Stegostoma tigrinum: one gene and its partners. The protein of the gene in region 2 purifies or fractionates together with the protein of the main gene of each other region. This does not show direct contact. Links are inferred from orthologs where the notes say so. Each region holds a gene or a part of one and is shown on either strand. Other genes may lie near its edges.

What was found.
Region 1: the proteins of sntb2 (region 2) and caska purify together in Homo sapiens (affinity purification with mass spectrometry; 3 studies listed by BioGRID and IntAct, with this or other methods). This does not show direct contact. The link is inferred for Stegostoma tigrinum from reciprocal best matches to the Homo sapiens genes SNTB2 and CASK.
Region 3: the proteins of sntb2 (region 2) and dystrophin purify together in Homo sapiens (affinity purification with mass spectrometry; 4 studies listed by BioGRID and IntAct, with this or other methods). This does not show direct contact. The link is inferred for Stegostoma tigrinum from reciprocal best matches to the Homo sapiens genes SNTB2 and UTRN.

What each region holds. Positions count from the first base shown.
Region 1 is NC_081365.1:43,392,913-43,404,070, forward strand, and holds the start of caska (peripheral plasma membrane protein CASK), read left to right. Parts: upstream 1-6,955; 5' UTR 6,956-7,511; coding exon of another isoform or gene 7,512-7,570; intron 7,571-11,158. UniProt on the Homo sapiens protein: Multidomain scaffolding Mg(2+)-independent protein kinase that catalyzes the phosphotransfer from ATP to proteins such as NRXN1, and plays a role in synaptic transmembrane protein anchoring and ion channel trafficking.
Region 2 is NC_081369.1:67,638,752-67,649,924, reverse strand, and holds the start of sntb2 (beta-2-syntrophin), read right to left. Parts: upstream 4,909-11,173; 5' UTR 4,886-4,908; coding exon 4,345-4,885; intron 1-4,344. Other genes in the region: utp4 (U3 small nucleolar RNA-associated protein 4 homolog), read right to left, coding at 11,053-11,169. UniProt on the Homo sapiens protein: Adapter protein that binds to and probably organizes the subcellular localization of a variety of membrane proteins. May link various receptors to the actin cytoskeleton and the dystrophin glycoprotein complex.
Region 3 is NC_081362.1:550,620-561,546, reverse strand, and holds the start of dystrophin, read left to right. Parts: upstream 1-5,722; 5' UTR 5,723-5,734; coding exon 5,735-5,828; intron 5,829-10,927.

The DNA of each region.
Region 1 (11,158 bases), on a different chromosome or scaffold from region 2:
GAAAAGCTTGACACAAACTTAGTAAACATGGTTTTCTTAAAGGGAAATATTGTTTGATAAATTTGCTAGAGTTCTTTGAAACTATAATACGCAAAGTTATTCAAGAGGAACCAGTATATGAAACATATTTAATTTCAGAAGGCATTTGATAAGGTACCACATGAAAGATTATTGCACAAAATAGGATCTCATAGTATTAAGGTTAATATATAGGCATGGATTGAGGATGGGTGAACACACAGAAGACAGACAGTCAAGATTAACAGGTTCTTTTCAGGTTGGAAGACATAATGAGTGAAGTGCCACAAGGATCAGCCCTATGGTCTCAATAACTAACTATCAATATTAATGGTATGGAAGAGGGCTCATATTTGCTAATGATACAAAACTAGGTGAGAAGGTATGTTGTTATGAGGATGTAGGAATCTGCAAGGAGATATCCATGGGTTCAGTGAGTGTGCAAAAATTTGGCAGATGGGAGTTTCATGTAGAAAACTGTAAGGTAGGAAGAATGATAATTCAAACATGTGTAAATAAACTGAGGAATCTGCATAAAACACAAAAAAATGAGCATGCAATTAAGAAGGCAATTTGAAGTTTTTCCATTAATGCAAGGGGAATTGAGTTTGAAAACAGGGAAATCTTGTTCCAACTGTAGCATGGTGTTGATGAGGCCACTCCTAGAATACTATGTGTGGTTTTTGTCCCCATATTTAAAAATGGATATACTGGCACTAGAGGGTGTTCAAGAGATTCACTAGGCTGATTCCTGGGACAAAGGGATCGATTTATTCAAGAACAGTTAAAAAGTCTAGAAATTTGGAATTTATAAGAATGAAGGGTGGTTTTATTGAAACATATTGATTGTGAAAGGGCTTGATAGACTAAATGTTCAGATGATGTTTCCACTAGCAAAGGAATTTCGAACTAGGAAATACGGTTACTCATTAACAGGATATTATATAAAACAGAAATGAAGTAATTTCTTCTCACAGAGGGTATTTAATCTTAGGAATTTTCTAACCCTGAGAGTTTTACAGGCTAGATCACAGAAAGATTTAAAATAGAGGTGAAGAGATTTTTGAAATATCAGGAAATTGATGGCTGTGCTAACTGGAACAAGAGTGGAATTGAAGCCTGAGGCAGATCAAACATCATTCTTATTGAATGGCAGGGCAGGCTTCAGAAGTCTATTTTTTTGTCCTGTTTCTTACATACTTACATCTGGTGCAATTTTGGTAGAGGCTGCAGGTTTGGAAGGCATTCTTGAAAAAGCCTTGGTGCGTTGCAGTTGTGTATTTTCAGGGTCAAATAACCAGTAATCTGAGCAAAACTGTGTCATATATAACTCATTTACTACTCAATGAATGGTCCTTTAAATAATCCAAAATGTGACTATTTTGCTTCTGGATGCTTATTGTTTTGGCAGTGGTTAATGTATTTGTTTTCTGCCTACCTCTTGACAAAATTTACGATTTTGATAATTAAAAGTCTCATTCTGATGCAGGAAATCGTGAAAGCAACCATTCAAGGTCTTCAGAAACATACATGACAACTGCACAAATGGCAATACCCTGTATCAATGCTACAAAGGTTGTGCAAGAAGCGCCAGTAGCACTCTGTGCAAATGAGAAATCTGCAGTAGGTGTGATAGGCTACACAATTCAATTTCACATACCCTGTGTATTTCAAATATCAGATGAGATCCCATTTATGGGTCAATTGTGCAAAGGTTTTGATGTTGAACTAGTAACCCAGGGTCCCAGGTAAGACGCTGGGACTCTATGTTCGAAACCCACCACAGAAGATGGTGGAATTTGAATTTATAAAATCTGGAATTAAAAGTCTAATAATGTTGATTGTCATGAAAGTTCATCTGGTTCACTAATGTCTTTTAGGGAAAGAAATCCACCATACTGCGTCCAGTTCTGGGCGCCCTATTATAGGAAAGATGTGGATGCTTTGGAGAGGGTTCAGAGGAGGTTTACCAGGATGCTGCCTGGACTGGAGGGCTTATCTTATGAAGAGAGGTTGACTGAGCTCGGTCTCTTTTCATTGGAGAAAAGGAGGAGGAGAGGGGACCTAGTTGAGGTATGCAGGATAATGAGAGGCATGGATGGAGTTGATAGCCAGAGACTATTTCCCAGGGCAGAAATGGCTAGCACGAGGGGTCATAGTTTTAAGCTGGTTGGTGGGAAGTAACGAGGGGATGTCAGAGGCAGGTTCTTTACGCAGAGAGTTGTGAGAGCGTGGAATGCGTTGCCAGCAGCAGTTGTGGAAGCAAGGTCATTGGGGTCATTTAAGAGACTGCTGGACATGTATATGGTCACAGAAATTTGAGGGTGCATACATGAGGATCAATGGTCGGCACAACATTGTGGGCTGAAGGGCCTGTTCTGTGCTGTACTGTTCTATGTTCTATGTTCTATCCTTACCTGAGGTCATCTTCATCTGACTCCACAACGGAATCCAGACAACTATGTGGTTGACTTTTAACTGTCCTTTGAAATGGCATTATAAGCCATTCATTTCTATCAAACCACACTGGAGCCTAAACAAACAAATGAAATCAGATGCACCACATTCAATGTAGACCCCAGAAGTAGAATAGGCAGCAAGTAACATTTGCATCACACAATTGCCAGATAATGATAACCTCGAAAAGGAAAAATATCTAAGCTTGCGATGTCTAATACAATGATTTCCGACAGTCCTTGTCTCCGACAGGTGATCTCACTGGCCACCCTTGTTTCCTTGTCATGTATGTCTCTGACAATCCATCTCACCGCCTGCCTGTAATTCCTCACAGTGAGCATGTTGATTACTATGCCTCTCTATGAGTTCTGCTTCCAGAAGCTGTAGAGAAAAGTTCATGTCTTTATCAGGATTTTCTTGCTTGTTGCATTGTGTTTCAGTTTGGTCCAGAACGACTTTCATTTCAAAAAAAAGTATGTTCTGTGATAGTATTGTAAATAAATGAATAAGAAATATATTAGGAACAGATGTGTGAAGTCTGTATATTAAAGTACTAGATGTATAGGAGCATGATGTCTGTGCGAACTCTCTGCAGCAGCAGCTCAGCTGGTCCCATTTTTCTTCCTGTTCCCTGCAGGCCTGAGTTTATTTTCCTCAGCTATTTATCTGCACGTGGATGAAAAGTTAGGATGGGAGCTGTTGCGCCCACATCCAAAATTTGAATAACGCAAGCCAATCATGGGCCCTGGAAACAAATCACAACATCAAAAATGACTTGCGGTGCCACTACATTAGAAAGCAGCTAGCAACATTCTGAATGTTCCAGAGACACGGGTTGACCAGCAGCAGAGTAATGTCTTGAATTACATGGTGAAGCAATAAGAAGGAGTAATAAACTGGGAACATATAAAAAGAAACCAGAAAAATGGGAAAATAAATTTCTGTTAACAATTGTAAAAGATGAGCATTAGCCTCATATGTTCATGTGTCATAAGTGGATATTAATAAATGAAAAGGGGAATTTGGTTCAACACCACTCAATGATGCAAAGTGAACTCAAGGACAGTTTTCACTTAAACAGATTCAGATAAAAAAAATATTAGTGAGCTGAAAGCCTTTTGAAAGTTCTACAGTCATGTTTTTCTAAGGCAGCAGCAAAGCCTGCACTGAACAGAATTTTGCATTTGTCATCTTCTGGTAAAGTGCAGGAAATTATTGCCTGATGGCAAAGTAATTAAAGAAACAATGACTGCAGCCACAGACGCTTTATTCAAAGACTTTAAGGACAAGGAAGAAATAATTATTGCAATCCAGAGCATGTCACTTGGTGTTTCCACAGGACCAGGCCAAATGGAATCTTTGTCTGAAGACATCTTTCAATAGCTACATCAGGGTCTCAAGGACTGTGACTACAGTTTTATGACTGCATTAACATGCAATGAGCTGTCAACCAGTACATGGTTATTTTGCTTCAGGTTCCTAACAGACATAATGTCAAAAACTGAATGAGGTGTTAAGTGCAGGAAACAGACAGAGTCTAGCATTTATAACTAGGGTTGTGAAGGCGCTCAAATTGAAATTGGGTCTGTGGTTATCCCAAATGAAAAATACACTGCAGCACTTTCCCAGCCTGGAGAAAATACTAGACAAAAATACAAGGAAAAACCAGAAAACCTCAGTGCACTTCTGACGAAGTTAGTAGAAGAATTCAACATATGATTTCAGGAATTAGGTGTAATGGAACAAACCATCATATTTGTCTCAAATCATTCCTTCAAGTAGACTTTGGTAGAAGGCTACCAAATTCCATCAGGTGTTTGATTTACAAGCAATGATGTTGCTACAGAGATAATTACCGGGAAAATGACTTTGAAAGTCAGATCAAAGGACATAAGCAAAAAAATTACCCACTCCTGATATCCTGTGCTTTTAATGCGGAAGCTTAGTTTGACTCCTTATTCCTCTGTGAATCAGCATTCTTTCAAATGATAAGGATGAATAGACAATAGACAATAGGTGCAGGAGTAGGCCATTCGGCTCTTCGAGGCAGCACCACCATTCATTATGATCATGGTTGCTTATCCACAATCAGTATCCTGTTCCTGCCTTATCCCCATAACCCTTGATTCCACTATCTGTAAGAGCTCTATCCATCTCTTTCTTGAAAGTATCCAGAGACTTGGCCTCCACTGTCTTCTGGGGCAGAGCATTCCATATATCCACCACTCTCTGGATGAAGAAGTTTTTCATTAACTCTGTTCTAAATGGCCTACCCCTTATTTTTAAACTGTGTCCTCTGGTTCTGGGATCACCCATCAGCAGAAACATTCTTCCTGCTCCAGAGAGTCCAATCCCTTAATAATCTTATACGTCTCAATCAGATCCCCTCTCATCCTTCTAAACTCAAGTGTATACAAGCCCAGTCGCTCCAATCTGTCAACATATGATAGTCCCGCCATTCCAGGAATTAACCTCATGAATCTACACTGCACTCCCTCAATAGCAACAATGTCCTTCCTCAAATATGGAGACCAAAACTGCACACAATACTCCAGGTGCAGTCTCACCAGGGCCCTGTGCAGCTGCAGAAGGACCTCTTTGCTCAAGTACATGTTTTGCATCTACCTCACAAATAATCATTTGATGGACTGTATATGACTAGCTGTTTCAAAGTACAAGCCAGACATCAAGGCACAGGCATATAATGTGCAGACACCGAAACTTGACGAGTGAAGACAGAGTTCAGTAGCACTAAAATAAACTTTTTATTCTATATTTTCTTCAGGGTAAATTCATAAAGTGATCTTGCATTTAAAAAGGTTGGAGGTAACTGATCTAAGCATTTCCCCTTGACATTCAAAGGCATTACCTGTGTTGAATGTTCCACTATGTACAAGCTGGGAGTTACCAGCAAAAAGAAACTGAGCCAGAGTAGCTATATAAACTCTGTGGCTGTAGGGACAGGTTAGGAGCCCAGAATTAGTTGGACTGAAGGGTCTGTTTACATACTGAGTGACACTATTAGCCTATATTGGTACATGAACAGGAAAGGTTCAGAGGGATATGGGCCAAATGCAGGCAACTAGGACTAGCTTAGTTGGGGAAACTTGCTTGGCATGGACGAGGTGAACTGAAGGGCCTGTTTCTGTGCTGTATGAATCTATAAATCTTTTCACCTCCTGTCTCCCTAAGCCTATCACCAACTAGAAGTCACAATTAGAGTGTAAGAGAACAGTTTTTTTGCTCACCTGGATAGGTGCAGCTCCAACCAATTTTTCTAAACAACCTGTTCAGAGAAGTTATTACACACCTTTGGAGGAGGTGGGGCTTGAATCTGGGCCTCTTAGTCCAGGGATAGGTACACTACCACTGTGCCACAAGAAGGCCTCGAGGTACAGCTCCACCAACAGTCAAGAAGATTAATAGTATCTGGGATAGAGTGGTCTGCTTGATTGGCAGCCCATTCAACACCTTCACGCTTCATTTCCTCCCCCATATTTGCTCAGTGACATCAGTTTGTACCCTTTACAATGTGGACTAACAGCATCTTCAAAACCATGACCTCCACCACACAGACGCACAAGACAGCCAATGCATGGAAATACCTAATCTTGCAAGTTCCCGTCCAAGCAACACATATTCTTGATCGATCCTTCACTGTCACTGAGTTAGAATCCTGGAACTCTCTTTCAAACATCACGGGGTGGCGTGGGGTGGGGTGTTACCTTCAGCCCAAGGAAAGTGGCGATTCGCGGGTGATGGCGAATAAATGCTGGTCTAGTCAGCGAAACGCACACCGCATTGACGAATACAAAACTAGGAATAGGCAATCTTGTCAGTATCACAATGTGGACTAATTTGGCTTTTGCATTACCTGAGTTACAATGGTGACTTTACAGATAGGTGGGAGAGGCATGCTTGGATTTAAATACGTGAGAATTTTAAAGCTGTTGAAATTGGGGAAACAGGACACAATATAGGTCAGCGCGGATAGGATGAATGAAAGGCATCAGTGATTTTAGGAAAGAAAACTCACATTGATGTAGTCTTCAATACAAAGATTGACCAGGATAGTATTAAAATTATGTAATTGTGTGACGGCGAAGGCCTGGAAGAGCAAGGCAGTGGCCACTGGCTTTTCAGTACTATATTCAACCGAATCTTCTATCACTCCCGTTTATTCACCAAGACATGTAATACAATAAATCATTTTAACACATAAAATATGTACTCAAACTGGGTCGTCTATTTTAGAACGAGGAGCACAGTTTCCTTTGTTTGGGTTAAAACCTGCCGTTTTGATGTGTAAACTGTCGACAAGGTGTAATTTGCTAAAACCACCGACGCGTGAGCGCACGCGCTACACGCAGGTGCTGCAGCCATCCAGGTTAACGCATGCCCAGCACTGGTTTGGCCACGGCCGGTTTGGCCTTCAAGCGCATGCGCAAACACTGTACCTCCATCTCGCCGCGAGCTCAGTGCTGACGCAGCCAGAGTGCGGGCAGTCGGGGAGCGGGCGTTGATTGGTGGTTACCTCCCTGACCAACCGCCGCCGCCTGAAACTGTAGCGGCGCAGCGACAGGGGACGGGCCGACACTAGCAGCCTACAGCACGACAGGGCGAAGTGTTAACATGGTCCGACGAGCGCCGACTGTAATATATTAAGACCTTTCTTTCATTGCGAATTATTCCCGGATTTTGGCCTGGATTTCCAGGGAGCAGTTCTATACAGAGAACAGAAGCCTTGGACTGTGGATTTTTTTTAAGGCAGTGAAAAAGAGAAGGTGGGGTCGCCAGGAGGAGGGCAGCGCCAAGCGTAGCCCAGCAGTCTGCTTTACCCGGCTGCTTCACTATCAATCAGTCTTCGTTTCGCTGGTGCTGTCTGGAGGAAAAAAAATCTTTTTCATTCATTGTGTCCTGAATTCTTTAACTGATCTACACGGGAAACGTTTTGTTTTAAAGACCAATTTCCACATTAGAGGGAGTTTTTTTTTACTTTGAATTCCCTCTCAAAATTCTGATTTTAATTATCGACTATGGCCGACGACGACGTCCTGTTTGAAGATGTATATGAGCTGTGTGAAGTGATTGGCAAGTAAGTGTGTTTTTTTTAAAAAATATATATATTTAAATTAAAGTAGAAATCAACTGAAGCCAGAATATTATGGTTGTGGTTTAATTCGTGGTTTTACTTAACGGGCCCTCCCTCTGTTTCCAGTGGATTACAGGATACGGCCGAAGGATTTATTTAGCTTTTTTGCATAATAACGAAAATAATTCTGGAAGTAAATTTAAACAAATAACATTTAGAAATCAACTTTATGCGTTAGGAAACAACTCATTATTTGCTACAATTTTATGTAAAAGTGGTACAGCCCATTGTGGATATTATTTACTTTGTAATGTATGAATTGAAATTGAAATATTGATAAAGCTGCTCTTGCATCTGAAGGATACGGTGCCTCCTTTTGAAGGAGAGGAGCATCAGACATTTATCCAGGAAATAATGAGTAGTTTCGGCTGTTTCCCGCAAAACCAAGAAATTTGCATTAATTATCAACTATATTTATGTATTGTTTTGATTCAGAAAGTTTATCGTTTAACGTTGTATGATATAATCCATTTTCTTAAGTCAGGTTGAAGATCAATTTTCGTGTTGTGAGAGCACTAATGCTCCAGCGAAGCAGTCGTTCTGATGCAGTGATTTTCAGTTAAATAAGGAAAGAATGTTTTGTCAACGTACAAGATTTTAATTGTCAAGATAAACATTTGATCAAGAGTTTCTCCTTGTAGGATGGGTCATTGTTCTTTTGTATTCTTAATTATTTTAAAACACTAGTGTTCAGGACGTGGTTTATGCATGTTTATCAGCATAGCATTTTTGTATCTCATTTATTTGTTTAGACATTTTCGTAACAAATATTTACTCTTTATTATGTTCAAATGGTGGATTGTTTTCTGGGTTTTTTTGGCTATGCATTGTAATATGTTTTCAGTCCTGTTAGGTAATCAGAATAGTGTTGACAGATAATCTCAAATATCTGTAATTGAAAGTAAATAGTCAAATATGACGCTTCTTTTGCGGTTATCTTTAAAAACTCAGGCTGTATCACAAACTTTTAAATTTAGCATGTAGTTTTAGAAATGCCATTCTTACCTTTTGCATCTATCAAGATTTCTTGTTTCAAGCAAATTGTTTTAAAAAATACAGCAGTAACTTAACCCTTTTTGGGTATTCAGATTCCTGAAGAAGGGTTTTTTAAAAGACTTGTGACCTTGTATATTTTATTTTAAAATTATATGTGTAACTTGCAACTGAACAACTGAGTTATGTTAAATTCATACTTCTGTAATTTCAGCCGAGAGAAATTGGAAGATTGCAATACTAAATATATAGAAATGGATTTTTAATTCCATTTTTGCAATTGAATCTCAGAAGATAGTGTATGAATTGTTGAGAGGATACTGACATAGATGTTACAAATATTTTGAGATGAGCCTGTCTTAACAGGAAAGTATAATGACTTGAATAGTTTTGCTTTTATATTCAATTGCAGAGCAAAATAGCTGTAAATAAAACAGATTTGTGATCACATTCTTTGATTTCACAGTTGCAATTGCATTTACTATAATGCTTTTTACTAAAATTTTGCGCTCCAGTTGTGTCTTTGGTCACATGATGCTAAGTTAAACTGCATTAGTCAGTTTTACAGTACCTATTTTAGGTAGGGACATAGGAGTTGTAAAAGTATCATTCTGTTCCAATCCCTTCAAAGCCTTGCTTCATTCTGTAATCTATTTACTATGGATATTGGTGAACACACAAGCCAATTCTTTCATTTCACCACTCTTGACCATTGCCTTCAGCTGCTTAGAACCTGACTTCTGAGATCTCCTCCATAAATCATTTCACATCTCCGACATGCTCTCCTCTCTTTTAAGGCCTTAAGTTTTTTTTTAAATGTCGTGTACCTATGTAATGTTTTGGAAAACTTCATCTTGATAAAGATGTAATTTTTGTTAAGATGTTTTATTTAAAATCTAATTTAGTTCTTTAGCATTTTGAGTTTGGAATGATTTTCAGTCATCTTTGGCTAAAGAAAAGCATCCAGAGTTGACAAATTTAGTTAAAGAAACAATTAATGAAATCAGATTTCAGGAGCAAAGCCTCTAGAATCGTTCAAGGGAAAGTTGATTGCTGTGCTACTGGAGTGTGGCTTGCATCGAAAGACAACATAGAAGGTTAAAGTTGTTTTTCTTGTCAACTAAAACAACTTTTGGTGCTTAGATTCATATGCATTTTATTCTTTGTTTTTTTTCAAAATCCTGAATGTACTCAACAAATCAGACAACATCTATACAGAGAGAAATTAGTTAACTTTTGCAGGTCACTGAACTTTCATCAGAACTGAAAACATTTAGAACTAAGTAATTTGTTGTAATGGATTAAATTTTCCTCATTGTTTCCTTTCAAAAACAAAAAAACATTTGATAGTTTTACCAGATTAAAGGGAACATACGAAATGACATTATTACATTTTGTTAGCTTTGTACGTAATGTTCAATGAAGTAACTTGCTGGTTCATTCACCTCTCCCCAAAACTGCAATCAAGTGTGTTTGTTTTGTCTTTTATAGGGGGGAAAAAAAACCCAATAATTAGCTAGAGGACTCATTCACAATGCGGACAAAACTCCTTGAAAATTTTGTAATAGGCATATGTTTTATTGGTGTGCATGGATGAGCAGACTCCAAGGGGTAAAAGTGGCCTGCTCTTGATCTAAGACTTGGAGACGGTATGGACCGCAGAGGTTGGAAGCTAGGGTCAATAAATGTGGAGCCGGAAAAGTACAGCAGGCCAGACAGCATCCAAGGAGTAGGGATATCAACGTTTCAGGCCAAAACCTTGACTTCCCTACTCCTCAGATGCTGCCTAACCTGCTGTGCTTTCCCACCTCCACAGTGATTTGGTGTTGATCTATTTTCTGATAGAATGGAGGATGGGTGATTAACCAGGATTTAGAGTATCAAGAGTTAGTGAAGCAGTGATCTGGATGTGGATTTTAATAGCAGATGCACTAAAAACAGGTAAAGGTATGATTGGAGGTGACCTTAGTGAATTCACAATGGTATGAGGTGGAGAAATTGTCTCTCAGATTTTGAGTGACGAATAGTGGTTCATATTCACAAAGGGGAAGTGATAGGTGATGTAATGGTATTATCACTGGACCTGTCAATCCAGGGGCCCAGGTAGTATTCTGGGACCCAGGTTTGAATCCCACAATGGCAGTTGGTAGAATATGAGCTCAATTTTTTTTTAAGAAATCTGAATTGAAGAGTGTCACGATGCCCATGAAACAATCACTGGCAGTTAAAATCCATCTGGTTCATTAATGTCCTTTTTTTTTACGGAAGCTAACTGCCATTCTTACATGTGACTCCAGATGACAGCAATGTGTTGACTCTTCACTACCCTCTTGGGATGGGGCAATAAATGCTGGCCTAAGTGGCAATACCCTCATCTCATGAATAAAACAAAACTTGTAAGATGTAGGCATCGCTGGCTGGCTAACCAGCATCTTATTACCTGTCCTTAGTTTCCTTTTGAGAAGGTGAGTGTGAGCTGCCTTCTTAAACTGCAGCAGTTCACATACTGTAAACTGACCCACAATGCCCTTTACGGAG
Region 2 (11,173 bases):
ATTCATTTTTCACTGTTCTGCTCACTTGTCAGTCCACTATATGTCCTCCTACATAGCTTATAGCTAGCTGCCCTATTTACACTCTACCAATTTTCATGTCATCCTCAAACTTCATGATCACATTCCTTACATTTACATCCAAATCATTAACATGCACTAGAAACAGAAAGGGCCACAGCACCAAGCCCTGAAGAATTGACCAGAAATAGACTTCTCGTCACAGAAATATCCTTTTACCATTAGTGCCAGCTTCTAAACTGTCAGCCAATTTTAGATCCAACATACCATTTGTTTCAGATCTCAAGGACTCTTTCTTGAACAATCTGCCATGACAGAACTTAACAAATGCCTGGCTAAAATCTCACAGACCACACCAAATGCATTACACTCATCAACACTCACCTCAAAATTTCAATCAAATATTTCAAACACAACCTTTCCTCAATAAATTAATGTTGCCAATGCCTGAATAATCTGTCTTTTGCGAGTGCAGATATATTGTGTCGCTTAGAATTTTTTCTAATCAGTTACCCACCACTGGGATTAAACTGGCCTGTAATTTCCTGGTGTAGCTCATTCTTCTTTTTGTTCCAAATAACAGGACAATGTTAAAAGTTATCCAAACTTCTGGTACCTCACTTTTGGCCAAAGAGGATATCTCTGATATCTCCTCCCTAAACGGCCTGGAATACATCCAATCCAGATCTGTAGATTTATTCACTTTAAACACTGCTCAGCACACTCTTCTCTCCTCTCTGTTGATTTCTTCCAATATTTCACAGTTCTCCATCCTGATGTCCACAACTGTGTTGTCCAAATCCATACTGAACGCAAAGTACTCACTGAGGACTATGCCCACAACTTACGGAAAACAAATATTTAATATCATTCATATATTTTAAAAATCCTTTTGTTTTCCATTTTTTCTACATAATATTTTCTCATGCACTCTTGCAGTTTTTCCAAATTACCTTAAGATCACACTGGGCATTTTATATTCTTCGAGGGCCTTTGCCATGTTAAGCTATTTTCTCCCATCCATTAGTCTTAATGCTCATTTTCTTTGACATCCAGGATTTTCCTGCCTGGGTCTCACCATTGCAGGCACAAATTTAATCTGTGCTTTTGGTATTTCCTCAATGAATGCTTCCTACTGCTCTGACAGTTTAATGTGCAAGTAGCTGCTCCCAGCCTACCATTATCAAATTAATATTATAGAATCATACAGTAGAGGAGGTCCTTTGACCCATCAAGCCTGCACTGACAAAAAGCTACGCTAAATCTACATTAGCTCCATTTCCCAGCACTTGGCCCATAACACTATCTTAGTAAAATTAATATTTCCTCAATTAAGAACTTTTATTCCCAACCCATCTTTACCTTTGACCATAACTAACCTAAATCTATCGGAGTTGTAGTCACTATCTGCAAAAGCTTCCCTATATGCATTCCATCTGCACAGGCTCATTCTCCCCAGGTGACAGGTCCAGAACTGTCGCTCCCATTCTGGATTAAATTCACTCTTCCAGGTTCAATTGTATAATTTTGTTCTGAGGAAGGGTGTAGGCCCGAAACGCCAGCCTTCCTGCTCCTCTGATGCAGTTGGCCTGCTGTGTTCATCCAGCTTTACACCCTGTTATCTGTAATCATGTTGACTTTGTGATCTTATTAGAATAGAAAAGAGAATGGTCAAACGAGATAGATGGGCACACAGTGGGCAGACGGGTGAGCCAGAGCTGGGGGTGGGAAAGTCAGAGAGAGGGGGGCAGTGACAAAACATTTCAATGACAAAAGCTATCAATGGCATAACTGTATTCCTTTATTCATTCACAGGACAAGGGTGACACTGGCTGGGCAGCATTTAGTGCTCATCCCTAATTGCCCGGAGGGCAGTTCAGAGTCAACCACATTGCTGTAGTTCTGGAGTCACATACAGGTCAGACCAGCGGCTTCAATGACCTTCCCTCCATCATAAGGTCAAAAGTGGGGATATGTGCAGCACCATTCGTGACTTCTTAGATACCGAAGCAGTCCATGTTCATATGCAACAAGACCCCGGCAATATACAGGTTTGGGCTATCAAGGGGCAAGTGACATTCGTGCCACCCAAATGCCAGGCTATGTCCATCACCAATAAGACAATCTAACCACCATCCTTTAATATTCATTGGTGGTACCATCACTGAATCCCCCACTATCAACATCCTGGGGATTATCATTGATCAGAAACTCAACTAGACTCACCACAATAACGGTGGCTACAAGAGCAGGTCAGAATCTAGGAACATTGTGACAAGCAACTCACCTCCTGACTCCTCAAAGCCTGTCCACCATCTACAAGGCACAAGTCAGGAGTGTGATGGACTACTCCCCACTTGCCTGGATGAATGCAGTCCCAACAACACTCAAGAAGCTTGACACCACCCAGAACAAAGCAGCCCACTTGACTGGCACTACATCCAAAAGCATTCACTCCCTCCACCACCATCACTCAGTAGCAGCAGCGTATAGTATCTACAAAATGCACTGCAGAAATTCACCAAAGATTCTCAGACAGCACCTTCCAAACCTACAACCACTTCCATTTTGAAGGACAAGGGCAGCACACATATGGGAACATCACCACCTCCAAGTTACCCACCATCCTGACTTGGAAATATATTGCTGTTCCTTCACTGTTGCTGGGTCAAAATCCTGGAATTCCCTCCCTAGTCGGATTGTGGGTCAACCCACAGCAGGAGGACTGCAACAGCTCAAGAAGACAGCTCACCCCCATCTTCTTAAGGGCAACTAGGGATGGACAAGAAATGCTGGCCAGCCAGCGATGCTCACATCCAACAGATGAATAGGAATAAATATGGTAAAGATTGCAGTTTCCTTCCCTAAAAGGTCAGTGAACCATTTGGGTTTTTCAAACAATCAACAATGGATTCATAGTAATCATTAGATTCTTAATTCCAGATATTTTACTGAATTCAAATTCCACCGTCTGCCTTGGCATGAATCAAACCAAGGTCCTCAGAATGATTAGATTAGATTACCTACAGTGTGGAAACAGGCCCTTTGGCGCAACAGGTCCACATTGCCCCTTGAAGCATCCCACCCAGACCCATCCCCGTATAACCCACACGCCCCTGAACACTACTGGTAATTTCTCATGGCCAATCGAACTAGCCTGCACGTCTTTGGACTGTGGAAATCGGAGCACCCAGACGAAACCCACGCAGACACAGGGAGAATATGCAAACTCCACACAGACAGTCGCCCGAGGCTGGAATCGAACCCGGGTCCCTGGTGCTGGGAGGCTGCAGTGCTAACCACTGAGCCACCGTGCCACCCTAAATGCTATTAGGTCTCTGAACAAACAGTCCAGTGATAATACCACCAGATCATCACCTCCCTGATAACTGCATTAGCATTCTTGTCACTGCATTATCTCCAAACTATTAATGCAGAAACAGAGGTAATGGCCTAGGGAACATTTATGTTTGAATGCTGCCTGCCAAATTGTGACTTTCGAAAACAACAGAAATCTAGAATTAAGAATCTAACAATGAATCTAAAACTAAAGGTTACTGTTTAAAACTGTCACACATTTAAAACAGATGCAGTGAATTTTTTTGCTGGTGGAACATCTCAAGTCTTTGGAACTCCCATATTGAAAAAGTGAAGAAAGTCAAGTCGTTGAACACAATTAAAACTGGTAACAGATAGATTCTTTTCAGCCAGGGGATGATAGGTTAACAGGCCTGGGGAGAATATCGATTTAAGGTTACCGTCAGATCAGCTATGATCTTATGAATGGAAGAGCAGAGTCAAGGAGTTGAATAGCCTAATCCTGCTCCTAGTTTGTATGTAAAGGATTAGGATGGTAGATTTAGATTTTAAAAAGACAGAAGCAGCTCAAATGGAGTATCTTTAGCACCTCCTGGTTGGTTGTATTTGTGTTTTATGTAATACATTTCTACCTGTTGGATCCTTAGGATATTCTAATCACTTACTGTTAACCACTTGCCCTTCAGGTGGATACACAATGTTCACAAACTCTACGTGTACTAGGCCTACACTGATGAAGTTAAACTCGAGGAGAACTCGGCTCCCATCGGAATCTGTACAATGTGAACCAGTCCAGAAACCAGCAGAGAAACAACATGGCAAGTATTCATTAGACGCACATCTCTCTCTATACATCTCTTTCAATGAAGATTTCAACATCGAAATTATCCGTTTACAATTTGTGGAAGAGGAATCCCCGGACCATTCTCTCCCCGGGGGAGGGGGGGTACGCTCCCTCCTCACCCGAACCTCGAAGATCGGGTCGCTCTCCCCTTAGCCCCCGCTCACCCTCCAGGGTCACCTCCCTTCCAGCCTTCTTCAGGGCCTGTACGGCCTGGTCATGTGTCGCCTCCCGGAGGTCAGCTCCGTTCACCGCAAGGATGGCATCTCCCACGTAAAGGGCGCCGGTACGTTCGGCCGCTAAGCCCCGGAAAATCTTGGAGATGAGGATGGGCATTCGGTTCTCGCGGCCGCCCTTGATGCTGATGCCGAGGCCACCGGCTTCCTGTTTCACAACCCTCACGGTACGGACCCGATCGGCCAGCCCTGGACCCGGTTTCGGGCTGCTGGCCTCCCGGGGCAGCACAACCGCGGCACCTCGACCCGGACTCCCAGATCCAGGCCCCGCCGGGCTCATATGTACTGGAGTCGGGCTGGAGCTCCGCGGCCGCGGGGATCCGTTGGAGAGACCATCCCAGACCCCAGGCTCCAAGTCCTCGCTGGTCAGCTTCAGGCTATCTGCTCGCAGCTCAGCCCCGACCCGAAGCCACCCGCGGTCCCGGAGAAAAAGCTCGAGCGGCCCGGCCCGAACCGAGAGCCCGGCCGCCATCGCCCGCCAACCCAACAGCCTATGGGAACACGGCACTGGACAACCAATGGGACTAGTGCAATGGCCAGCCAATAATAGCACATCTTCAGGGGGCGACCGTCGGGAAATTGGCAACGGCCGGCCAATGGGAATAGTGCAATAGCCAGCCAATGGGCTCGAGATCCTGGAGGCTACCAATAGAAATCGCGCAACGGCCAGCCAATGGGAGCAAGGTCCTCCGTGGAGGCCAATGGGAATAATGCAATGGCCAGCGAACGGGAAACAAACTAAAGAACTGCAGATAACACAATGTGGCGCTGGACGGACACAGCGGGTCAGGCAGCATCTCAGGAGCAGGAAGGCTGACGTTTCGGGTCTAGACCCTTCATCAGAAAAGGGGGAGGGGGTTCTGAAATGAATAGGGAGAGAGGGGGAGAAAGTTGTTACAGAGATAGTAGGGCCTGACGATGCTGGAGTTCCTGAGATAACACGGTGTGAAAGTGGATGGACACAGCAGGCCAAGCAGCATCAGAGGAGCAGGAAAGCTTGACGTATCAAGTCGGGACCCTTCTTCGGGGGAGGGGGGAGGAGAATCTGAAATAAATAGGGAGACGGGGGAGGCGGATAGAAGATGGATAAAGGAGAAGATTGGGTGAGAGGAGACAGACAAGTTAAAGAAGCGGGGATGAAGCCAGTAAAGGTGTGTCGCTGGCGGGGCGATAGGTCTGTGCAGGGAGGACGGACAGATCAGGGGGGCGGGGGTGAGGCTAAGGTTAGTGGGATGGAGGTGGGGCTTGAGGTGAGAGGAATGGTTGGAAAGGCAGAGACTATAGACAATAGGTGCAGGCGTAGGCCATTCGGCCCTTTGAGCCAGCACCACCATTCATTGTAATCATGGCTGATCATCCACAATCAGTATCCTGTTCCTGCCTTATCCCCATAACCCTTGATTCCACGATCTTTAAGAGTTCTATCCATCTCTTTCTTGAAAGTATCCAGAGAGTTGGCCTCCACAGCCTTCTGGGGCAGAGCATTCCATATACCCACCACTCTCTGGGTGAAGAAGTTTTTCCTCAACTCTGTTTTAAATGGCCTACCTCTTATTTTTAAACTGTGTCCTCTGGTTCTGGACTCACCCATCAGCAGAAACATGCTTCCTGCCCCCAGAGAGTGTCCAATCCCTTAATAATCTTATACGTCTCAATCAGATCCCCTCTCATCCTTCTAAACTCAAGTGTATACAAGCCCAGTCGCTCCAATCTTTTGGACTAGCTGGACTGGTTTTGGCATATGGTTGGGGAAGGGGAGATTTTGAAACTGGTGAAGTCCACATTGATACCATTGGGCTGCAAGGTTCCCAAGCGGAATATGAGTTGCTGTTGCTGCAACCTTTGGGTGGCATCGTTGTGGCACTGCAGGAGGCCCATGATGGACATGTCATCTAAGGAATGGGAGGGGGACTGGAAATGGTATGTGAATGGGACTGCAGGTGCTCCATAAAGTTGTCTCCAAGCCCCACCACCCCTGGCAATTTTCCCTGCAACCCCAGGAAATAGAACATAGAACATTACAGCACAGTACAGGCCCTTCGGTCCTGATGTTGTACTGACCTGTCATACCAATCTGAAGCCCATCTAACCTACACTATTCCATGTACATCCATATCCTTGTCCAATGACGACTTAAATGTACTTAAAGTTGGCGAATCTACTACCGTTGCAGGCAAAGCATTCCATTCCCTTACTACTCTCTGAGTAAAGAAACTACCTCTGACATCTGTCCTATACCTTTCACCCCTCAATTTAAAGCTATGCCCCCTCATGCTCACCATCACCATCCTAGGAAAAAGGCTCTCCCTATCCACCCCTCTGATTATTTTATATGTCTACAATTAAGTCACCTCTCAACCTTCTTCTAACAAAAACAACCTCAAGACCCTCAGCCTTTCCTCATAAGACCTTCCCTCCATACCAGGCAACATCCTAGTAAATCTCCTTTGCACCCTTTCAAAGCTTCCACATCCTTCTTATAATGCAGTGACCAGAACTGTACGCAATACTCCAAGTGCGGCCGCACCAGAGTTTTGTACAGCTGAACCTCTTGTTTCCGGAACTCAATCCTCTATTAATAAACGCTAAAACACTGTATGCCTGGGTGGCGACTTTCAAGGATCTGTGTACATGGACACAGAGATCTCTCTGCTCATCTACACTACTAAGAATCTTACCATTAGCCCAGTACTTTGCATTCCGGTTACTCCTACCAAAGTGTATCACCTCACACTTGTCTGCATTAAACTCCATTTGCCACCTCTCAGCCCAGCTCTGCAGCTTATCTATGTCTCTCTGTAACCTACAACATTCTTCTTCACTATCCACAACTCCACTGACCTTGGTGTCGTCTGCAAATTTACTAACCCATCCTTCTACGCCCTCATCCAGGTCATTTATAAAAATGACGAGAAGCAGTGGACCCAACACCAACCCTTGCGGTACACCATTAGTAACTGGTCTCCAGGGTGAACATTTCCCATCAACCACCATCCTCTGTCTTCTTTCAGCAAGCCAATTTCTGATCCAAACTGCTATATCTCCCATAATTCCATTCCTCCGTATTTTGTACAAAAGCCTATTGCGGGGAACGTTATTGAATGCTTTGCTGAAATCCATATGCACCACATCAACCAGTTTACTCTCATCTACCTGTTTGGTCACCTTCTCAAAGAACGCAATAAGGTTTGTGAGGCATGACCTTCCCTTCACAAAACCATGCTGACTATCCCTAATCAAATTATTCTATTCTAGATGATTATAAATCCTATCCCTTATAACCTTTTCCAACACTTTACCAACAACTGAAGTAAGGCTCACTGGTCTATAATTACCAGGGTTGTCTCTACTCCCCTTCCCGAACAGGGGAACCACATTTGCTATCCTCCAGTCGCCTGGGACTATTCCTGTAGACAATGACGAGTTAAAGATCAATGCCAAAGGCTTGGCAGTCTCCTGCCTGGCTTCCCAGAGGATCCTAGGATATATCCCATCCGGCCCAGGGGACTTATCTGTCTTCACCCTCTGTAGGATTTCTAATACCTCTTCCTTGTGAGCCTCAATCCCACCTAGTCTAGTAGCCTGTATCTCAGTATTCTCGACAACATTGTCGTTTTCTACAGGATGTACTACACCTGCCCCTACACCCCTATCCCAGGTCCCAAGAATACGTTCCACATCAAACATGTTCACCTGCACATCTGCTAATGTGATATACTGTATCCACTTTTCCGATTGTGGCCTCCTCTACAATCGGGGAAACCAAGCAGAGGCTTGGGGACTGCGTTGTGGTGTTTTATCTCAGAGTCTAGCAGCAGCAGTTCCTACTATCTTTGGGTCTGACACAAGAGTCATAGAACTACACAGCCCAGAAACCGACACAACTCGTCCGCGCAGACCAGAGATCCAAAATTCATCTAATCCCATTTGGGAGTATTTGGCCCATATCCCTTCAAACACATTCTGATAATGTACCCATCCAAATGCCCCCATTGGAACAGGATACAATGCTCAACTCATCAACCCAAGATTGGTACCCATGCGGACAGCCTCAACTGGGATCTTGGGTTCATGTTGCACTACAGGTGACCGTAACACACTATACACTCTCACTCCCCCTCAAACACACAGACACATGCTCGATCTCTCTCTAACACCCCGCCCCCCCAACACACACACACACAGATACTCTCTTGCTTGCAATCTTTGTTTAATGCCCCCCCCAACAAACAGATTCTCTCTTGCTTTCACTCTCTCTCTCTCTCTCTCATGTTCCCCACACACAGACACTAACATTGTTCAACTCATTGAACGCCAGTGCCACAGCGAAAAACCGTAATGGCCTCCTTCGAAGACAGACACAGATACATCTGATAGGGTACCCTTCATTGTCCAGCATTTCCTGGGAGTACAGAAACTACACCATCTTCTTCGCAGCCTTCAATACATTATCAGTGACAATGTGCACCTCACCAAGATCTTCCCCATGCCTCCACTTTTCACCTTCAAACAACTACCAAACCTCATTGTTCACAGCAAACTACCCAGTCTTCAGGACAACATCGAATACAACACAGTACAACCCTGTTATGGCAACCTCTGCAAGACATGTCAGATCATCAACATGGACACTTCCGTCACACGTGGGAACACGCCCCACCACATACACAGCAGATACTCATGTAACGTGGCAGGTAAGGATGCCCCAAGGCATGGTATATTGGTGAAACATTGCAGATGCAGTGACAATGGATGAATGGACACTGCGCTATAATCACCAGATGTTCCCTCCAGTGGAGGAGCACTTCAGCTATCAATGATATACAGCCCCGGATCTTCGGGTAAACGTTCTCCAAGGCGGACTTCGAGGTACACGACAACATGGAGTGGCCGAGCATAGGCTGATAGCCAAGTTTGGTCCCCATGAGGGCAGCCTCAACTGGGATCTTGGGATCATGTCACACTACAGGTGACCATACCACACTATACACTCTCACTTCCCCTCAAACACGCAGACACACACTCTATCTCAATAACGCCCCCCCCCCCCAACACACACACACACACTCGCTTGCACTCTTAACACTCAGATTTTCTCTTGCTCTCTCTCTAATGCCCCCCCCGACACACGCACTCTCTCTCTCTCTCTCTCTCTCATTCTAAAGCCTCCATACACACCAGACACGTGCTCGCTCTCTCGCACCTGCACTCTCTCCACACCCCCTCCCCCTCACCTGATGTTTGGCAACCTTCAGATTAAACTACCAATCATCTCTGTCTCATGAGACAACAGCCTATGGCTCTTTGGGATTATGGCACCTTTTGTCTATAATCGCTATGACCTCAATGTCTATCTAGCCCTAACCTTCAGACAATCTAAAATTGCAATATCTATCATGGATGTTCTACTTCCATCATCTCTTCTTGGCTCCCTGCTACTTAATGCATTGTATTTGAAAACATTATGCTGACATTATATGGCCTTTCCCTCGTGTTTTCAATCATCACATCCCACCAAGTCACCTAGAAATCTTTATCTCACTATCCACTTTAATGTTGCAGCACATCTCGTCCGTTGCACCTTCCTTCCTACTTCACCTTTGGCCTCAAGACAATCTGATTTACTGACTTTACTGCATCCTTTAATCCAAAGCTTCTGTAAATCAATACCCTGCATTGAACACCCCTACCCGAACATTTCAATTTAACAGCAAAAATTCATTTGAGATGAGGGGAGATGATGGCCTAGAGGTATTATCCCCCGACTGCTAATCCAGAGACCCAGAAAATGTTCTGGGGACCTGGGTTCAAATCCTGATACAGCAGATGGTGAAATTTGAATTCAATAAACATCTGGAATTAAGAGTCTAATAATGATCATGAATTGATTGTTGGGAAAAAACCCATCTGGTTCAGCAGGGAAAGAAACTACCATCCTTACCTGGTCTAGACTACATGTGACTCCAGACCCACAGCAATGTGATCCCCTTTGAGCAGTTAGGGATGGGCAATAAATGCTGCCTGGCCAGTGATGCCCTCATTCTGTTAATGAATAAACGTACAGTCTGGATTCACTTTACAGGGAAAACTGCATTTCACTCACGGCACTTGATCATGACTCAGCTGCTTCATTCCATAAGCTTGGTACTGCTGTGCAATGATCTGTATGGAAACAGAGTTCAGGTTTCAATCATGGATTCATACGGCATCTTTAATTTAGGTGCTGCACAGAGCAGTAACAGGACAAAGTGTGCATGTATATCATCCTGTGACAAATCCAGTGATGTGGCTTAATTTTAAGTGACAGAACAGGCGAACTTAGCAATTCCTCCACAACATCCCGCAATACAACAGGTCACTTGGAGAAATTTCATTTGTAGGATTGAAACGTCATTCAGGGTTGATTGTGTGTCCTTGCTCATTTCGATTAAATCCAGGCCATTTGTGGGAAGTGGGAAGACAAAGTGAATCAATATTTGCCAGTGGCCTGACACCTTATTTAAGTTTGACACAGCATTTATTTCAAATAAAAAATTACAAGTTTGTAACTCCATTATAAGGTTTAAAGGATAATCTAGGGAGCAATCTGAAAGATCTTGAAAAAACATAACAAAAGGAACCGACAGCAACTCAATTCATTTATGTGGCAAATTTCTTCTGTCGGACAGGTGCAGGCAGTTGTGCATTGATCTCCATCACAGGACGTTCCACCACCACAAGAGAACCATCAAACAGAAGTTCAACATGCATCAGAGGCTGC
Region 3 (10,927 bases), on a different chromosome or scaffold from region 2:
TAATCCCTGTGGAACACCAGTAGTCTAATCTTCAATCAGAAAAATATCCTTCCACTGCTACTGGTTTCTATGACCAAGCCACTTTTGTATCCATCTTACCAGCTCACTGTGGATCCCATGTGACTTCACCTTTGGTACAGACTGCTGTGTAATACCTTGTCAAAGGCCTTGCTAAAGTCTACGTAGAAGTCTATACAACGCCCTGCCCTCATCAGTCATCTTTGTCACATCTTCAAAAAATGCAATGAAATTTGAGAGACAGTCTTCGCCCCCACATAGCCACGCTACCTCTCACTAATAGGTGCATAAATGTATATACATTAGAAACTGAAAAACTACAAACATGCATTTAGCTATACAGTTGTTAACATTTCTATATTTATATCTCACAATCTCATGTTTCTTACAGTGTTCCATATTGCCTCCTATAAAAATTATTTTGAAATGCAAACACTAATGTACACACATGCAGCAGATATTTTGTTGTCTCTTGAAATGAAAAGGATGCAACTATGCTATCTTGGCTGCTTCAATATCCTAAGCAATGAGTTCTGCATTCTTAGCACTCTGTGGGCAAATTAATTTTCTCCAGATTCTCTGTTTGATTTTTTAAAATGCATTGGTGGTCTCTAATTATGTTCTTCTTACAAGTGGGGGAAAAAATTTCCCTGAATCTTCTTTTTGAAACTTTTACGCTTTTGAACATCTGTGTGTGGTCAGCCATCAACGTTTTTTGAGGCGGAATGATGTCTGTTCATTTCTTTCTCTCCAAAAGTCTGTCTGTCTGTATTCATAAAGCTTTCAAGACCACATTATATGAGGTACTACACAGATCACTTTCTTTCAGTAAAGAACACCGAATGCCTCGTTAGCTTGCCGTTACAGGCTGTCCGTGTTCATTCATCCTTCAGTGCATTTTTGATTTTACCCTTGTAAACCTGCTCTGCCATGTCACCAAGATAACAAAGTGTGGAGCTGGACGAACACAGCAGGCCAAGCAGCATCTCAGGAGCACAAAAGCTGAAGTTTCGGGCCTAGACCCTTCATCAGAGAGGCTCTCTGATGAAGGGTCTAGGCCCGAAATGTCAGCTTTTGTGCTCCTGAGATGCTGCTTGGCCTGCTGTGTTCGTCCAGCTCCACACTTTGTTATCTTGAATTCTGCAGCATCTGCAGTTCCCATTATCTCGCCATGTCACCATTCATTTTTAATAACATACAATCAGACATGCAGTACACAAAATGTATTTTAACTGAGCTTCAAGATGGGTTTACATAACTCTCCTACTATTCAAATGTATCCCTGTAGAAATGAAGTCTGATGTTTATGGTAAGGTAGAATGCTCACAGCATTGAAGGCGGCTATTTGGCCCATCCTGTCAATGTCATCTGTCTGCAAAAGCGTTTCACTAATTGCTGAGTGGGTCGTGTATTTGTACTCCTGAATGCTTTTGTTCTTCCACCTAGATTCTCACATTGCAAATGATAGTGACCACTCTTTGTCTTCTACAAAAATGTATCACCTCACATTTATATGTTCAAGATAATTTTGCACATGAACTAATGTGAACTTCAACCTGTCAGATTTTGGATACAACCTCAATGATTTTGAGGACTTCTTTCAAAAACTGAAATACAATGAATTAACAAAAATGAAATTTACTCTAAGTACTGCAGAAAATGTTTGAATCTAGGTGACTGATAAACGCAGTGCACAAATGTTGGACAGGCGAGGGGCAAAACACATCTTGCACTGTTTATACTTTCCTGTATTTTGGACAATATGCGTGATGCCCAAATAACTGTTTCAATGACAACCACTTTTTAATGACAGCAGACAATACATTGAACACCTGCTGTTAGGGTCATTGAGATGTACACCATGGAAATAGATCTTTCGGTCCAAATTGCTATGCTGACCAGATATCCTAAATTAATCTAGTCCCATTTGCCGGCGTTTGGGCCATATCCCTCCTTAAACCCTTCCTACTGTTGTACCATTCAGTTGCCTTTTAAATGTTTCTTTACCAACTCCACCACTTGCCCTGGCAGCTCATTGCATAACGGCACCACCCTCCACTTGGGTTCATAAGTAGTGAGTAATATTCATGCTGTATGAGTGTCAGGAAATGACACTGCCCAAAAGAGAATGTACCTATTTCTCCTTGACATTCAACAGAATTATCATCACTGAATCTCCTATCATTGACACCTGGAGGTTACTAATGACCAGAAGCTTAACTATTTTGCCACAGCCACACTGAGCCCTGCCGAATCTTCACCATCCTCCCAGACCTCCCCCTGACTCTGGATGAATGGTCAGTCCTCAGTAAGGGGCTCACCTTTGTCCCTCTCCACCCACACAGCAACGAATGCCAGTCGCGTTTGGACATTGAGCAGCTTTTCCGCCGCCTTTGCCTCCATGCTTACTTCTCTAACCGTGAGCCCAACTCTCCCTCCACTGACCCCTTCTCCCACCTCCAACACAAGCCGTCCTCCTGGACACCACCCCAAGGCCTCCTACCTCCACTTGCCGTCGAGACAGCAATCGCCTCAACCTCTCCACCACTCTCTCCTCTCCCCCGCAGAACGCGCAGCCGTCTGCTCCCTCCACTCCAATCCCACCCTCACCATAAAACCCACGGATGTCGGAGGCGCAGTTGTGGTATGGCACACTGACCTTTACATCGTTGAAGTCGGATGCCAACTCTCCAACACCATCTCCTACTGCCCCCTGGATCATGACGCCACCCCGAGCCCCAAACCATCCACAACCTCATCAACTCAGGTGACCTCCCACCCACAGCCTCCAACCTCATTGTTCCCCAACCCCGCACTGCCCGCTTCTGTCTCCTACCTAAAATCCACATACCTACCTGTCCTGGTTGACCCATTGTCTCCGCCTGCTCCTGCCCCACCGAAATCATGTCCACCTATCTGGACTCCGTGTTCTCCTCGTTGGTCCAGGAACTCCCTGTCTACGACTGTCCCGCAACTCATCCCTCACACCCCGTCCCTGCAATAACCACCAAAAGACAATCCCCCTCATCCCCACGTAACACCCTGCCAACCTCTGGATCCAATGCTTCATCCTCTGACACTTCGGCCATCTGTGATCCGACCCCACCACCAAAGACATTTTTCCATCCCCACCCTTATCTGCTTTCTGGAGGGACCACTTTCTCCTTGACTCCCTTGTCTGCTCCACGCTCCCCTCCAACCCCACCTCACCCATCACTTGCCCCTGCAACTGCAGGAAGTGCTACACCTGCCCCCATACCTCCTCCCTCACCCCTAGGCCCCAAGAAGACTTTGCACATCAAGCAGATGTTCACCTGCACATCTATCAATGTGGTATACTGCATCCGCTGTAGCCGTTGTGGCCTCCAGTACGTTGGGGACATCAAGCGGAGGCTTGCAGAACAGCTACGCTTGGTTCGCAACAAACAACTGCACCTCCCGGTTGCGAACATTTCAATTTCCCCCTCCCATTCCTTAGACAACGTGTCCATCCTGGGCCTCCTGCAGTGCCACAACGATGCCTCCCGAAGTTTGCAGGAACAGCATCTCATATTCCGCTTGGGAACTCTGCAGCCCAATGGTATCAATGTGGATTTCACAAGCTTCAAAATGTCCTGTCCCCCTACTGCATCACTAAACAAACCCAGATCGTCCCAGCCTCCCCAACCTGTCCTTCCTCTAACCTATCCCCTCCTCCCACCTCAAGCCGCACCCCCATTTCCTACCTACTAACCTCATCCCACCCCCTTGAACTGTCCGTCCTGCCCGGACTGACCTATCCCCTCCGCTACCTCCCCACCTACACTCACCTCTGCTGGCTCCATCCCTGCCTCTTTAACTTGTCTGTCTCCTCTCCACCTATCTTCTCCTTTATTCATCTTCTATTCGCCTCCCCCCTCTCCCTATTTATTTCAGAACCCTCTCGCCTCCTCCTTTTCTGATGAACGGTCTAGGCCCGACACGTAAGCTTTTGTGCTCCTAAGATGCTGCTTGGCCTGCTGTGTTCATCCAGCTCCGCACCTTGTTACCACTAAACATGTGTTGCTTATTAGCATTGCCATTGACGCCTCACTGAACTAATCACACTTTCCTATTCTCTTCTGATACCCTCCGTGCTATATTTAAATATATTTACATATCCTGATTTGAGATGATGCGTATTAATAGCTTACTTGTGACTTCACAGCTGGACATCACTTGAAGTCTCAAGAAGGAGTATATTAACAGTTGAAAAATGGTGTTAACTGCCTTTCAAAGTATTTGGATGTAGATGGAGCTGGTGATTGCTATTTGTAGTAATTCTGCTTTATTAGTAAAATCACGGTTGGAATACTGCATATGGTTCTGATCGCCCTGCTCTAGGAAGGATGTCAGTAAACTGGAAAGGGTGAAAAAAAGATTTACAAGGATGTTAATGAGACTTGAAAGTTGAGCTATAACGAGAGGCTGGATAGGCCGAGACATTTTTCCCCTGTAGTGTGGGAGCTGAAGGGCGGATCTTTACAGATGTTTATAAAATCATGAGGGGCATGGATAAAGTGTATAGCCAAGGTCTTTTTCCCTAGGGTAGGGAGTCCAAAACTAGAGGGTATTGGTTCAATGTAAGAGGAGAAAGATTTAATTGCAACCTGAGCAGTAACGTTTTCACACAGAGGGTAGTGCGTATATGGAATGTGCTGCTGGAAGAAGTGGCAGAAGTGGGTACAATTACAACATTTAAAAGATATTTGGATAGGTACATAGATAGGCACATTTAGAGGGATATGGGCCAAATGCAGACATATGGGACTAGTGTGGTTTTGAGAACTTGGTCAGCATGGATGAGTTGGACCTGAAGTCTTTTTCTATGCTGTATGAATTGACTCTATGAAGAAATCGGGGAACAGAGCTGCTTGGATGACTCTTTCGGTAAGTTGTCACAGTCCCAATCGAATGGATGGAGTTTTCCGCAATACAATGCTTTTCTTTTTTGTGAACCTGGTGAATGCAGTCAACCGTGCAATTTCAGTGCTAGTTCCTCGTTTTTGTGTTCCTCGTGAGCCAGTTTGTGTTTGGATCGGGAAAGCTGTGGTGATATTTAATAACTAAGCTGGAGAAAATAGGATTGGACTAATAGATCGATTTAGTCCATAATGCTTATTGCAAAGCAGGTTATTGGAATAGGGGAGACAATGGTCTCGTGGTATTTTTGCTCAACTGTTTAATCCAGCTGCCCAGGCAATGTCACCTCTGCTGGCTCTTTAACTTGTCTGTCTCCTCTCCACCTATCTTCTCCTTCAAATACACATTTGAATATTTTTAGATGAACCACAATGGAAATGAGCAATTTTCACATTTGGGAAGGAATCACCAGTTCGGAATAGCTTGTTTATGTTGGTATGTGCTTTTCTTTTGCAAGCTGTTCTGTGCATCAATCATTTTGCACCATTGAAATCTCAATTAAAGACGGGAATTAAGTTATAAAGACAAGGCAACCCATGATTAGGCTGAGTAAACTGATTAAACAGCAAGTTTAGTAATATCAGATCAATACAGTAGCACCTCAGAAACACCAAGTGGTGGAGAGAGTGAAGTGCTGATTCTGGTTTGTGGCTGTCTACTTTTGAATGTGACACATGCAGTGTAAGCTTGTATTTATCCCTTACCTCCCAGCTTGCACTGAGTGATGTTAAACATCCGTTTCCTCTGCATTTTTTCTGTGAGCAGAATTTAAGAGATGAGTGTGCGGAGTGTGAAGCCTTTATCATGGACAATTTGTCCTTTTCTTCTTTCTTGCAACAAATATGTACATGTTTCAAGTGGATTAGGTAGTAAGTATGCAAGTTTTAATAGACGTTCTCTTGAATGAGGTGGTATATTGTAATCTGTTTGCTTAAAGAACGTTATAAAGGCCTAGTTCCTATATTTCAACACCGAATACAATTTGAAATGTGCTTTGTTGGCTTTGAGGCAAATTCAGTTCAAGAAATCTAATGTGGAAACACAGTTTTTGGGGACCAAATTCAAAGTTTGAGCACTTGTAAATATAGAACCAAACTCATTTATGACTACCTTGCTTGAAAAATTTTGGGGAATATATTAAGGATTGAAAGGTTTGAGGCTCCAGGCAAGCTGCATTTACAGTGCACCTTTGGCATCGGTGCGAAGTGAGATTTGTTTCACAGCAGTTCTTATCTTCATTAATGTTAATCTGGAAGTAAGACCTGACTTGTCTCCCATGCAGCGTGCACTCAGGAGATTGAACTATCTAATACAGAACTTCTAAAACTGGAATGTTCAATGAAGCTGTTAGGGTGTGTGTGGACTTTAGACTCTGCAGTTATAGCATTAGATATCTTTCTGCATTTTATTTGAAGGCTGTCTTGTGTGTTTTGTCTACATAGCTGCAAAAAACGGTAGGTGTGACTCTTAAAACCAAATTACACCTGCCTGTTTCCTGACTGCTTAGGACCCTGCTCTTCTTTTGAGTATTTCACCTTGTCCCACCCCAAGCATTTCATTTAAATCTTTATCACAAAGTCCATTCCATTGTAACCAAGTAGCTTTCTTGTTCCTCAAATTAGTACCTACCTGTGACAGAAATATATTTGTTTCATTTGAACCTGAAATGAGCTTCCAACCACATACCTGTAAGCAGTAGGACTGCTAACTTCCACCAATGTGACATCATCTGATTCTGCCCCTGCCTCAGCTGATCGGCCTCTGTGCCCTTGTTCCACCTGGACTTGAATATTTCTTGCCTGTCTTGCACCCTCCATAAGTTAAGCTTGTACAGAACTCTGCTTCTAGTCCTGTTCTTTGATCACCTTTCTTCTCCTCAACCTGTATTGGCATCTGGTTGTTATCTCAATTTTTAAAATTGTCACCCTTGTCTTGCAGGTTCTGCCATGGCCATGTTCCCTCCTTATCTGTTCAATCTCTTCTAGCCTAACAACAATTTGTAACATCTGCCGTGCACAAACTTTTTTTAAAATTAATTTATGGAATGTGGGTGTCATTGGGTGAGTCGGTATTTTGTTTTATCTTAATTGCCCTGAAGGAAGTGATGGTGAGCTGCTTTCTTGGATCACAGCTGTTCATGTAGTGTAGGCATGTCCATAGTACTGTTAAGTAAGGAGTTTCAGGATTTTGACTCAGCAGCAGCGAAAGGACGATGATATATTTCCAAGACAGAATGGTGAGTGACTTCGAGGGGAACTTGCTGGAGGTCATGTCACATCTGCTACCCTGTTCCTTCGGTAGAGGTTGTGGGTTTGGAGGATGCTGTTGAAGGAGCCTTGGTGAGCAACTGCATTGTATGTTGTAGATTGTGTGTGCTGCTGGCATTATGTCAGTGATGAAGGGGGTGAATGCTGAAAGTGGTGAATGTGGTGCCAATCAAGTGAGATGTTTTGTCCTAAATGATGTCTAGCCTGAGTGTTTTGGAGTTCTACTTGTGCAGTACCTGGTGGGGGTTGGGGCAGTCATTAGAAAGCAGTTATGAATGTGGTTTGATGTTTCAGCTCAGCCTCCCATTCAGGTAAAGTTGGGAGATTTGAATCCATTGATTTAACTGCAAATTGACTGCTGTGTGCATCTGAACTGAGGCTGCCTGAAATCTTAAAGATGTCTCTAACACATTGTTGTTGCTTTCAGTGGCTAGTGTTGGAGGACTGAAGGCTTTCAAATCTTGCTGTAAATATGATCACTTCCTTTGAGCAGACTGCAAGGTCATTGACCAGTTAGCTACAGCAAAAGGCTTGGTGTTTTCCGCAACAAGTCTGTTGTAGAGGTGGGGTTTGATACAGCTATTATGTTGTGGGTTTTTAATTATATTTTATGTTACATATTGTGTTTGTTCTATATTGAGTGAAAGTAGTGTCATTCAAAGTAGCACCAGCACTCTTTTGTATTAGTTAATGAGTAGCATTTTTTTCTGGAAAAAATATTAAGACAATGTGTTCCATGCCACCCCTACCCACATGCACCCCAACCACACCAAAAAAAGTGCTGGGAGAAATATGCAGTGAATTTTGTTTCTGTTTGTGGCACCTATTGATGAATATATACAAATTCTCTAGCTTTCTGGGCCACTGTACAGTGATTGCTTTGTGTGAAGAGATTTTTAATGTTGCTGAAAGTCACACAAAATGATTCTCAACATAGCTGGTGGCCTTTTGGGTTGATTTTATAACCTTGGAGCAGGCAAGCTGATTTGGCTACAGGATCTTAGAACTTCTATGTTGTGAAGGAGCCATGGAAATCCAGGAGATTCCAATTTTTAGAATGCATGATTGATAAAAAAGCACAGAATTTGCTCCATCTTGCTTGTGTGCCAGTGAAAGCAAACTGAGAGGAAAAAACTTACATGCATATGGCAGCTTGCGTAGCGCCTAATTTCCCAAAATGTTGATGGACCATTGTATTAACTTGTTGAAATATATCTGAACCCCTTTTATGTTTGCTTTTGAGTGAGGATATTTGAGACAAATTTTGGGATTGTATTGTTGTGGAGGGTGGTTCTGTCTTGTTATGCAGGCTTGGAACGGCTCATGTATTTATGAAAGCACTCCGACTAGGAATAAATTCTTCTGTGCCTACTTGATCAGCTGTTTAGATTAAAAAGCACAATCGTACTCATTGTGCAATTCGTAAAGTTAATTATTAGCAGCTTATTTTCTTTGTTGTCATGTTCCAACACACTAGTCATAATTATGCTTGTTTTAAATGAAATTGGCACATAGTCCGGCCATTACTTGCATGTTCAGTCAGTGCCTTTGTGAAGAGGTTGGTGAGGGTGTAGAAGTCTGATGTCTTTACTATAAAAACATGAAATACTACAACACAGTTACAGGCCATTTCGCCCACCATGTCTGCACTGACCATAATGCCATTCTCAACTAATCCCATCTTTGTGCACGTGGTCCACATCCTTCTATTCCCTGCATGTCCATTGGTCGGTCCATATGCCTGTTAAACATTGATTTTGTATCTGCTTCTATCACCTGTTTGGCAGTGGATTCTATGGACCTACCGCCCTCTGTGTAAAGAAAAATTAAAACCCTAAATCTAACAGTAGCCTTAATGCTAACTCTGTTGCACATCTTCTTTAAACTACCCACCCTCCATTTAAACCTAAGCCCCTTAGTATTTGACATTTCCACTGTGGGTAAAAGACTCTGACTATCTATGCCTCTCATAATTTACACACTTCTATCAAGTCACCCCTCAGGCACGAATGCTCTAGCAAAAACAATCCAAGTTTGTCCAAAATCTCCTTATAGCTAATAGACTCCAATCCAGGCAACATCCTGGTAAACGTCTTCTGCATCCTCTCCAAAGCCTCCAAACCTTTACTGTAGTGTAGTGACTAGATCTGCACACAGTTCTCCACGTGTAGCTCAATTAAAGTTTTATACAGTTGCAAATGACTTGCCAACTTTTATACTCAGTTGCCTGACTAATGAAGGCAAGCATGCCGTATTGCCTTATTTACTGCCTTATCCACTTGTATTGCCACTTTCAAGGAGATGTGAACATGCACTCCAAAGTTCATCTGTATATTAGTGCACAAAAGGGTCTTGCCATTCACTGTATACTTTTCACTTGCATTTGACCTACCAAAATGCATCACCTCACATTTTTCTGAAATAAATGCCTACTGCAATTTCTTTGCCCAACTTTCTAACTGATCTATATCCTGCTGTATCCTTTGACAACCTTCCTCATTATCCACAACTCTGCCAATTTTCATGACGTCTGCAAAATTACTAATCAGACCACCTACATTTCCATCCACATCATTTATATATATTACCACAACAGGGGTCCCAGTACTGATGCCTGCAGAACATCACTGCTCACAGATTTCCAGCCAGAAAAGCACCCCTCAGCAGCTACCCTTTAAATCGTACAATCGCAGGAGACATCCTTCAGCCCATTGACTCTGCAACGACAAGTGAGAAACACCTGACCTGTGACCTGATCTCATTTATCAGCACATGGGCCATTGCCTTGAATGTTATAACATGACAAGAGCTCATCCAGCTACTTCTTTTAAAGGCTATGAGGAAATTCACCTCTACCACCCTCCCAGGCAGCGAATGCCAGACCATAACCACTTTCTGACTATAAAAAGTGTTGCTTACCATTCCCCCATCTTGAACCTCTGCTTCCTTGTAATTGACCCTTCAAACAAGGGGAACAGATGTTCCTAATCCACTCTGCTCTTGCCCCTCATAATTTTGTATACCTCAATCAAATAGCGTCTTGATCTTCTCTGCCCCGACAGAAACAACCCATGCTATCCTACCTTTCTTCACAACTTGAATTTTCCATCCCAGGCAGCATCCTGATGAATCTCCTCTGCACCCCATCTAGTGTAATAAAATAATTCCTGTAATGTGATTACGAGAACTGCAAACACTACTGTAGCTGTGGCTTCAATAAAATTCTGTACAACTTCATGACCAGCAGTTGCATAGGAGACAGCTACACTGAGCCCTGCCGAATCTTCACCATCCCCCCCCCACCCCCACAGACCTCCTCCTCCTGACTGAGGACGAACCTTTGTCCCTCTCCACCCTCACATCAATGAATACCGGTCACGTTTAGACATAGAGCACTTTTTCCGCCGCCTTCACCTGCACGCCGTGAGCCTAACCCTCCCTCCACTGACCCCTTCACCCGCCTCCAACACAAGTCCCTCCTCCTGAACACCACCCCAAGGCCTCCTATCCTCCCTCAACCTCATCATCTCCAACTGTCGCCGAGACATCAATCGCCTCAACCTCTCCACCCCTGTCACCCACTCCAACCAGTCCCCCGCAGAACGTGCAACCCTCCACTCGCTTCGCTCCAATCTCAACCTCACCATAAAACCCGCGCACAAGGGAGGTGTAGTTGTAGTATGGCGCACTGACCTTTACGT